Arabidopsis thaliana: one gene and its partner. The protein of the gene in region 2 interacts with the protein of the main gene of each other region in a pairwise test. Each region holds a gene or a part of one and is shown on either strand. Other genes may lie near its edges.

The links. The genes of interacting proteins can lie anywhere in the genome.
Region 1: the proteins of FBH4 (region 2) and AT4G10600 interact in a two-hybrid assay, tested with the Arabidopsis thaliana proteins (one large-scale study listed by BioGRID).

The regions. Positions count from the first base shown.
Region 1 is NC_003075.7:6,546,705-6,550,819, forward strand, and holds AT4G10600 (RING/FYVE/PHD zinc finger superfamily protein), read right to left. Parts: upstream 2,175-4,115; 5' UTR 1,944-2,174; coding exon 1,230-1,943; 3' UTR 1,137-1,229; exon of another isoform or gene 965-1,136; intron 862-964; 3' UTR 531-861; downstream 1-530.
Region 2 is NC_003071.7:17,610,994-17,615,192, reverse strand, and holds FBH4 (basic helix-loop-helix (bHLH) DNA-binding superfamily protein), read left to right. Parts: upstream 1-1,601; 5' UTR 1,602-2,029; coding exon 2,030-2,477; intron 2,478-2,741; coding exon 2,742-2,998; intron 2,999-3,104; coding exon 3,105-3,284; coding exon of another isoform or gene 3,285-3,302; exon of another isoform or gene 3,303-3,397; coding exon 3,398-3,463; intron 3,464-3,547; coding exon 3,548-3,679; downstream 3,680-4,199.

The DNA of each region.
Region 1 (4,115 bases), on a different chromosome or scaffold from region 2:
GGATAGGGTGCTGAGGAGATAAAGGAGTCGCATGCAACTTCCTTCTCTTTTCAAGACCCGATTTAACTCTAGCATAAACCCAATTGATCATTATCCTCAGGCGAACGAGTTACGGCAACGACGGTGGCTAGGGTTTCCTCGGACTCTCTCTAAGATTTTGACTAAGGAGAAAATTAAGGAGACTACCTATCTATTTATAAGGATATTAATCGGCTAGGGTTTTCTTTTTGTCTAACGAAATTTTAGGTTTACTCTCTCGTTACGGGCTTATATGGATAATTAAGGGCTTTTCTCCAATGAGTTTTAATGGATTTACATGAGTTTCATATAGAATTGAGACTTTTCTTTTACTTAGCGATTTGGATCCTACAACAATGGCCACTAAATATGTGCCTACCAAGCGACACAAAACATCAAACATAAACCATGTGGCACTTAAGATTTGAGCTTCTAGCGATTCTTGAAGTAAAGCCATATCAGATGGCTGATGTTAGCTTGCACAGTTGCACTTAAGCATAAAACAGACTCAATGCAATGCAATAACTTTGGCATTTCAAGTTTATTCTTGTTCCATAAAGCACAAAATTCTGCATATACTCCGTAAGTTCCGGAAACAATTTGGAAGTCGCACCAACGCTTTGCAGCCTTTCATATTCAAGAGAAGAGTTTTTTGGAATACAAGTAGGATATCAGGACCCTTTAGTGCACTGCCTTCCAACAAGAGCTTTCTTATCTATTTGAAATCACCTAAAATTGTTCATGGTGAGAATTGTCAGAGAATTCAACTTCATCTATGGAAGGACGGAGGGCGAGGAGAGTCCGCGAAGCCTTCAAGATTTTGAGCGCCTACTAATCCTGAAACTGCGAACCGCTCACATGAATGACTAAGATTGAGTTAATCATCAAGATAAAACAAGCCTTTCTTGCTCCTAATTTGACCTACACAAACTTATAAACCAAGCAATCGAGTTTATCATCAATGGAAAGAATTTACACTTTTTATTGCATATTATGTGGATGTTAAGTATCCTACAACTGTTAGTTGATTGCAAAGACAAATGAAACCATGAACCATTGTGGTTATATCTGAATATAAGGTTAAGAATCTAAACTAGTGACAAAGTTATAAACCTTACCATTCTTGTGTAAGAAATCTATTAAAATAAGAAATGTTGGTTGTGTAACACATAATGCCTCTTCTGTATCCAAATCAAAGCCTTCTTACATCATTATTCTTCCTCTTTATCAGCAACTTTAACCTTCTTCTTTACCCCATCTTCAAAACCACCCACCGACTCGTTTCTCCTCTTATATATACTCAAAGGATCACAAAGCAAGCTCTTCTCTTTCTCTACATCACTCTCAATTTCTCTAGAACCACAATTCCTAGCATTGTCTCCCTTACCATCCACACCGTTTTCTTTCGACATAGACAACAAAACACCAGCAAGATTACTATCATCTTCATCCCCAACAACATCACACACATTCTCCTTCTCATCCCAACAAGGAAACTCCCTACACTGAAACCTAAACTTCTTAGGCACATAACCACTACACTTCCATAACTGCCGACTAAAAACCGAAGAAACACATTCAAACAAACCCAAATCACCACCAGGAACTCCTTGTACATGAACCCTTTCTTCAATTGGTATCTCTGAACAAGCCTTCAATACAACACTCTCACTACTCTGCGTACATAAATTCTCCATTCTCAACGATTTAGTAACCGATAACTTGGACAATTCATCTTCATTGTTTTTTATCTTACACTTGTGGCAAACAAACAAATCATCACCTTTAACATAACGAGAACACCATGTATGAACCCAAACACCACATTCATCACAATCAACCATCTCTTTACCATCATCAAAATTCACACCACAAACACAATCTACTGTCCATGATTCATAAACCCAATCTTCGTGTGGCTTCATCTCAAATTTACCCCCAAAAAAAAAACTCTAAATTTCTCTGATTCTTTCACAAATTAACCCAGAAATCTCCCTGAATATCGAAGCTTTGTCAAACCCAATTCGTTTCTTCTGAACGACGATTGTAATGTTACGCGAAATAGCTTTGCGATTCTTGATAGAAAAAAAGCTATCTTGACGTAAATCTATGGTTCTCGCTTCCCATTTCTGAACGAAGAAGACGAAGATAGGAACCATAATTACTAAAATATGGGCCGGTATGGGCCGGGATGGGCCGGGATGGGCCGGGATGGGCCGGGATGGGCCGGGCTTAGAGGATAGGTACTGTTTTTTTTTTGTGGACGGACCAAACGATTTCATTTAAAAACCAAAAGCAGATAAAAAACAGAATGGTCAAGCTCAAAGAGGAATACAAGCGGAAATTAACGGTCAAATAACTAAATCATAATGAAGTTAGCAAAAATATTTGCACGTATAATTTAGCCTAAAGACACGTGTAGAAGATGTGTTCTTCTGAAAACCACTCGTCACGTCGTAGTACCAAAATCTTCTGGGTCGATCATATGAAACCGCTTCAAAAAGATTTCGAAAACCGCTAACTTCGGGGAAGCTATATCACTGACTACACCCAATTTGATGTAGTCTAGGATCAATCTTTCTATGTACCTTGAATAAAAACAGAATGACGAAGATATTACTTCTTGAGCAATTAGGGAAACAAAAAGAATTTGGAAGACATACAGAAAAATCGAAGGAAAGATATTGGAATAGAGATATTGGAAGTTGAAGTTTTGATTTTTAGGTTTTTTTCTTTGATCGTTTTTATGCTAATTTTGTGTTTGTTAAAGCTGAAACTTCAATGAGATGGCTTTGATTTATGATTTTTATTTGGGAATTTTAGTTTGTAGATTTATGTTTTGTATGATCATTGAATCTTTGAATAACCCATGCACTAGTAAGATGTTATATTATAATATATGGATACTAGACTTGAATTGTTCTAATTAGTAGGAAGAGAACTATTGTTGATAAAATAACATGTACAACTAGTGTACCTGTTAGACTATCTACATTAGTTACATGGTTACAATGTCCACTTTTCTCTTTTCAACACTCCACATTATAATTCAATACCTACATAATTTTTACTTACTACAATAGTTTTGTTTAATAAAATTACAACACATTACCCTACCATTATTTTATATTTTTTATTTTAATTATGTTTATGTTTTTTGTGATTAATTAATTACAATTAATATCAAATAAAATTAAAATAAGTAAAAATTAAATATTTTAAAATATGAAGGATAGTTTGGAACAGTTGACGATATAAAGAAATTTGGTGGATAACCATAATTTGTTATATTATGTTGATGGTTAGGAGATTGATGTTGGGTAGTTAAAAAGGTAATTAGAAAAATTTTGGGAGTTAAAATGATATTATTATGATCTATTTCACTAAAAAGACGGATAAAAAATAAACAAGAGTTTATGAAGGATGATAGCAAAAGTTTAATTTAAAAAGATGGGGTTTTTGTGTCCAAATTAATTAAAACAAGTCTTTATTTTTGCTATAAGCCTTCATAAATTGGGGATTGTTAGGAGATTGATTTTGAAACTGATAATTGTTCAGATTTTGGTAGTTAAAAAAGTAGTTAGAAGAAGTTTGACATTCCTTAAATGTAGTGATATTGAAATTTTTTGACATTCCTTTAATGGATCAATGCATTCTGTTCCTATCCTTTCTTATATGGATTGAGACTAAAAATTCTTTGAACTACCACCGCTCAACTTTATCATGATAATTATAAGTCAACTCAAGTATTTATAGATTATCAAAGTCTTAATCCGAACTCGATAGGACCAAACTGAAACCAAACCAGTTATTTTATTTTTACTATATATATATATCATAGCTTATTAAATTTTTTACAATATTATAAGGATATTATAATTAATAATTATAAAGATAAAAGAATGAAAGCGTTTGGCAAGAGCAATGGTAGAATTAGAAAGGAAAAAATAAAAATGGTTGAGAGTAAATAAGGATTCGCCACAAAAAGCACTAAAAATTGTATTTTAATATATGGACAAATATATAAATTTTATAAGTTATATATATTGGAAAACTATTTTGTAAATGTAGAGCGAGTCTTATGCTTTTATTATCTT
Region 2 (4,199 bases):
TTGTTGATTAATTATTAAACAGCTCGAAGTTTTAAGACTATGTAGCTTAGCCTATGTCAATGTCATCAATCTATATGCAATATATATAGAGCCTCAGGCACATAAACCGTAGTCCCCATATAAAAAAGGGAATGAAACAGCTAATAACTCCATAGAGAATAAATTCACATTCAAAGCAAATTCACCACCCCAATCTTCTCAATGGTTCGGTTTCTTTTTTCAATTCTTACATTGTACTAAAAGCTAAAAATTCAGACTGATACGATACGAATAGGTTTTTGAAAATATAAAAATTAATCAATTTCCATTAAAGGGCTGAATAGCTAAAAACTCCATAGAGAACAAGTCGCTTTATTGGATTTAGATTTTAAAAAGACGGCGCTCGTGAATTATTAAAGTTTAAACTAAGATAAGATTTAAAGAGATTTAGAGGAGACGTAATCTGGTGTATATCGTTCACATAGAGTCACGTCACTGTATAATCCATCGACCACTAAGGTTTTAGAGTTTAGTTTCAAATCTTACTTTTTCATGCAGGTGTACCGTATGTCACACAGATTATAGTAGTCGCCAACTTACGTTCCCAATGGGTGATAACGGCGTCAACGTCCTCCGTCACGATCGTGTCGTAAGCTGTACACTGTATAGGTTCCGTGAACCTTAAAATCGGATTTGGAAAGCTACGTACGTACGTAAATATTGGTTAAAAAGTTCAAACAGTTTTGATCTCTCTTTTATTACAAACAAACTGTACTTCCGACAATTTTCTTTCTTTCTATTTCAAGTACGTTTTCGTGTCTAACTATATTAACATCTAACTTCTGACTTTTATACTCTGATGGGACAATCTTTAATTCTTAAATTCTAAGTTGTACCATGCGAATGGATATTAGATTTTGTCAGTACAATTGCTGACTATGAATGAAGTACTCTAACATCATTATTGGTTCCTGAATAATGAGTACTTAAACAAAACAAATTTGAAGTAACGTAACCATGACATATTAGATCCATGTCCCCTAAAACGTATTAAAATTATTTCCTTACGTCGTTAAATTTCGAATCTAGTGTTAAATTGTTACATTGGTTGTTAAACTACCGACCCAATAAAAAAAAAGAAACTAATATTTATGATTGGTGCATCTTGTTGTAAATTGTAATCGTATGGCCTACCAGCGATTTCATTGTCCCCAACATACAGATATTTTTGTTCGTGTGTTATAAATTAGGGTAGAAACATCACATATTTTACAGAGACAAAGAAAAAAACAAGAATCGTAATAAAATGATATTATGGATACATGTAGATTATAAGATGAGAAATAATAATTTGTCACGGGTCCATCAGTATACTCGTCAAAATTGATTAGGTAGGTAATTTACTTCACATGCTCTTCCTGTATACAAGTATAAAGTATGTATTTTCATCTAAAATCTACTCTTTTCTCAATTACATTTTATATAGAAAAATTCATATTCTTAAGAAATAGTAGTAAAATTGTTCTTGAAAAAAAATATGAAAAGGCATTTTCCGTGACTCAGCCTCACAGGCGGCTTAAAACGACGTCTTTTTCAATTTTAATAAATTTTTGGTAAAAAAGCTTTTGGATCCGCCGCTATCTTCAGCAATTAAAGTTGGACGCAGAAACTCAGAAGCAAAAAGACGATAAATATTCATCATCACCTTCATCTCTCTCTTCCTCTCATCAGACTTCACCGTTCTTCTTTCTCTCTTCTTCATCTTCAGACGAAACCTCCTTTACTTCCCCTTCAAGGTTTTATATTTCCCAAATCCTACACCTGCTCACATCTCAAGCTCAAGTTTTGTTTTCCCGGGAAAAGTGACACAAACAAGAACTTAACAAGGGAGAAGAAAAAGCTTATATTCATATCAACGGTTGACGTTGGAAAGCTATTAAGATTTGGTTTTCTACAAATTTGTTCTTCCTGAAACGTCACGAGACAGAGCTTACAAGAAGAGAAAACAGAGGAAATTTCGTTGCATTTTTTTTACATATTGATTCGATTAATGGATTCAAATAATCATCTCTACGACCCGAATCCCACCGGGTCGGGTCTTCTTCGTTTTAGATCAGCTCCGAGCTCTGTTCTCGCCGCTTTTGTTGACGACGACAAGATTGGTTTCGACTCCGATAGGTTGCTTTCAAGATTCGTGACCTCTAATGGCGTTAACGGAGATCTGGGTTCACCTAAATTCGAGGATAAGTCTCCGGTTTCGTTAACGAACACCTCTGTTTCATACGCCGCCACTCTGCCGCCACCGCCGCAGCTTGAGCCGTCGAGTTTTCTGGGTTTGCCGCCGCATTACCCGAGGCAGAGTAAAGGGATAATGAACTCGGTTGGTTTGGATCAGTTTCTCGGTATCAATAATCATCACACCAAACCAGTTGAATCTAATCTTCTCCGTCAAAGCAGCTCTCCAGCCGGAATGTTTACTAATCTCTCTGACCAAAACGGTACCGTTTTGCTCTCTGCTACAAAGTTTTTCCCCCTTTTTTTAGTCTGAAATATTTTTTTCATTTATAACAGAAGTGTTTTTGGTACTTCTTGATTCAACTTTTTTGAATGTTTTAACACTTGCTTCAAGATTTTTGAATGTTTTACGTTCCTTGAGAATAATTTTAAGACAAGATCTGATTTGATTTTGTCAACCATAGAGTTAAAGCACTTTGGACTCAACAAATCTAATAAGTGTTTACTATATACTTACAAATTTGCAGGTTATGGTTCAATGAGGAATTTGATGAATTACGAAGAAGATGAAGAGAGTCCATCTAATTCCAATGGATTAAGACGCCATTGCAGTCTCTCTTCAAGGCCACCTTCTTCACTTGGAATGCTTTCTCAAATACCTGAAATCGCACCCGAAACTAATTTTCCATATAGCCATTGGAATGATCCATCCAGCTTTATTGATAACTTATCCTCACTTAAAAGAGAAGCCGAGGACGATGGAAAATTGTTTCTCGGAGCTCAGGTAACTCGGTTATCTAACCGGTTTGTTTTGGTTATTGATCAGTAGCTGAAAGTGGAGTTGATTTCTTGGAGTGGTTTCTAATGATGTTTTTGATGGGTTTCTACAGAACGGAGAGTCCGGGAATCGTATGCAGTTACTGTCGCATCATTTGAGCCTACCAAAGTCATCATCGACAGCCTCGGACATGGTTTCAGTGGATAAGTATCTTCAGCTACAAGATTCTGTTCCTTGTAAAATCAGAGCCAAACGTGGTTGCGCTACACATCCTCGAAGCATCGCTGAACGGGTAACTTCACCTAGTTAAGGCCATCTTTACATATATCAATGGAAGTCCATTTGAAGCAGAATCTAGTTTGTTTTCAGAAAGCCTTTCCTAAGAAATCTTGTCAATTGTGTCAGGTAAGAAGAACGCGGATAAGCGAGCGAATGAGGAAGTTACAAGAGCTTGTTCCTAACATGGACAAGGTACAGTTTTCAGGAACTTCCTTGTAATGACTTTTGATCATAAACAAATTGTTAAATGATGTTGTTTTCTTTATGTTTTAACAGCAAACCAACACTTCGGATATGTTGGATTTAGCTGTGGATTACATCAAAGATTTACAAAGACAGTATAAGGTAAAGTTCCTGATCATTGTGGAAAAAAAACAAAGGGGCCTGTTTAGTCTTCTGTTGAATTGATTTAGTCTTCTGTTGGTTTTACACAGATTTTAAACGACAACAGAGCTAACTGTAAGTGTATGAACAAGGAGAAGAAGTCAATATAGGGCGCAACAAAGTGTGTAGTAGATAGGACTAAAAAGCAGGGAGAAGGACAAGAAAGAAACAATGTCATGTCTGAATATTTTTTAGCCGAAACAGACCAAATTGTCTATGTAAGCTCTCGAGAAAAGCATCTGCTTCCAACAAAATTCTAAGTAATAAAATAGTACTCGATTTGTTCTTATTTCATTATTACAATGCAGAATCTACTAATCAAATGTTGTACTACAAAAGGTAAGATCAACTACGGTAGCTAAATGCGAAAATTATGACCAGAAGAACAAAGAAAGACTCGAAAACTAAGCAGAAAACATAAATTATTCTTCCATGTGATCTGCAGCGTCAGAATCTTTGATATCACCAGTAAGACTACTCCTGGTCACAACCAAAGTAAGAATCACACATGAAGTAGAGTGTATACGACTTCTCTCCTGGTTCA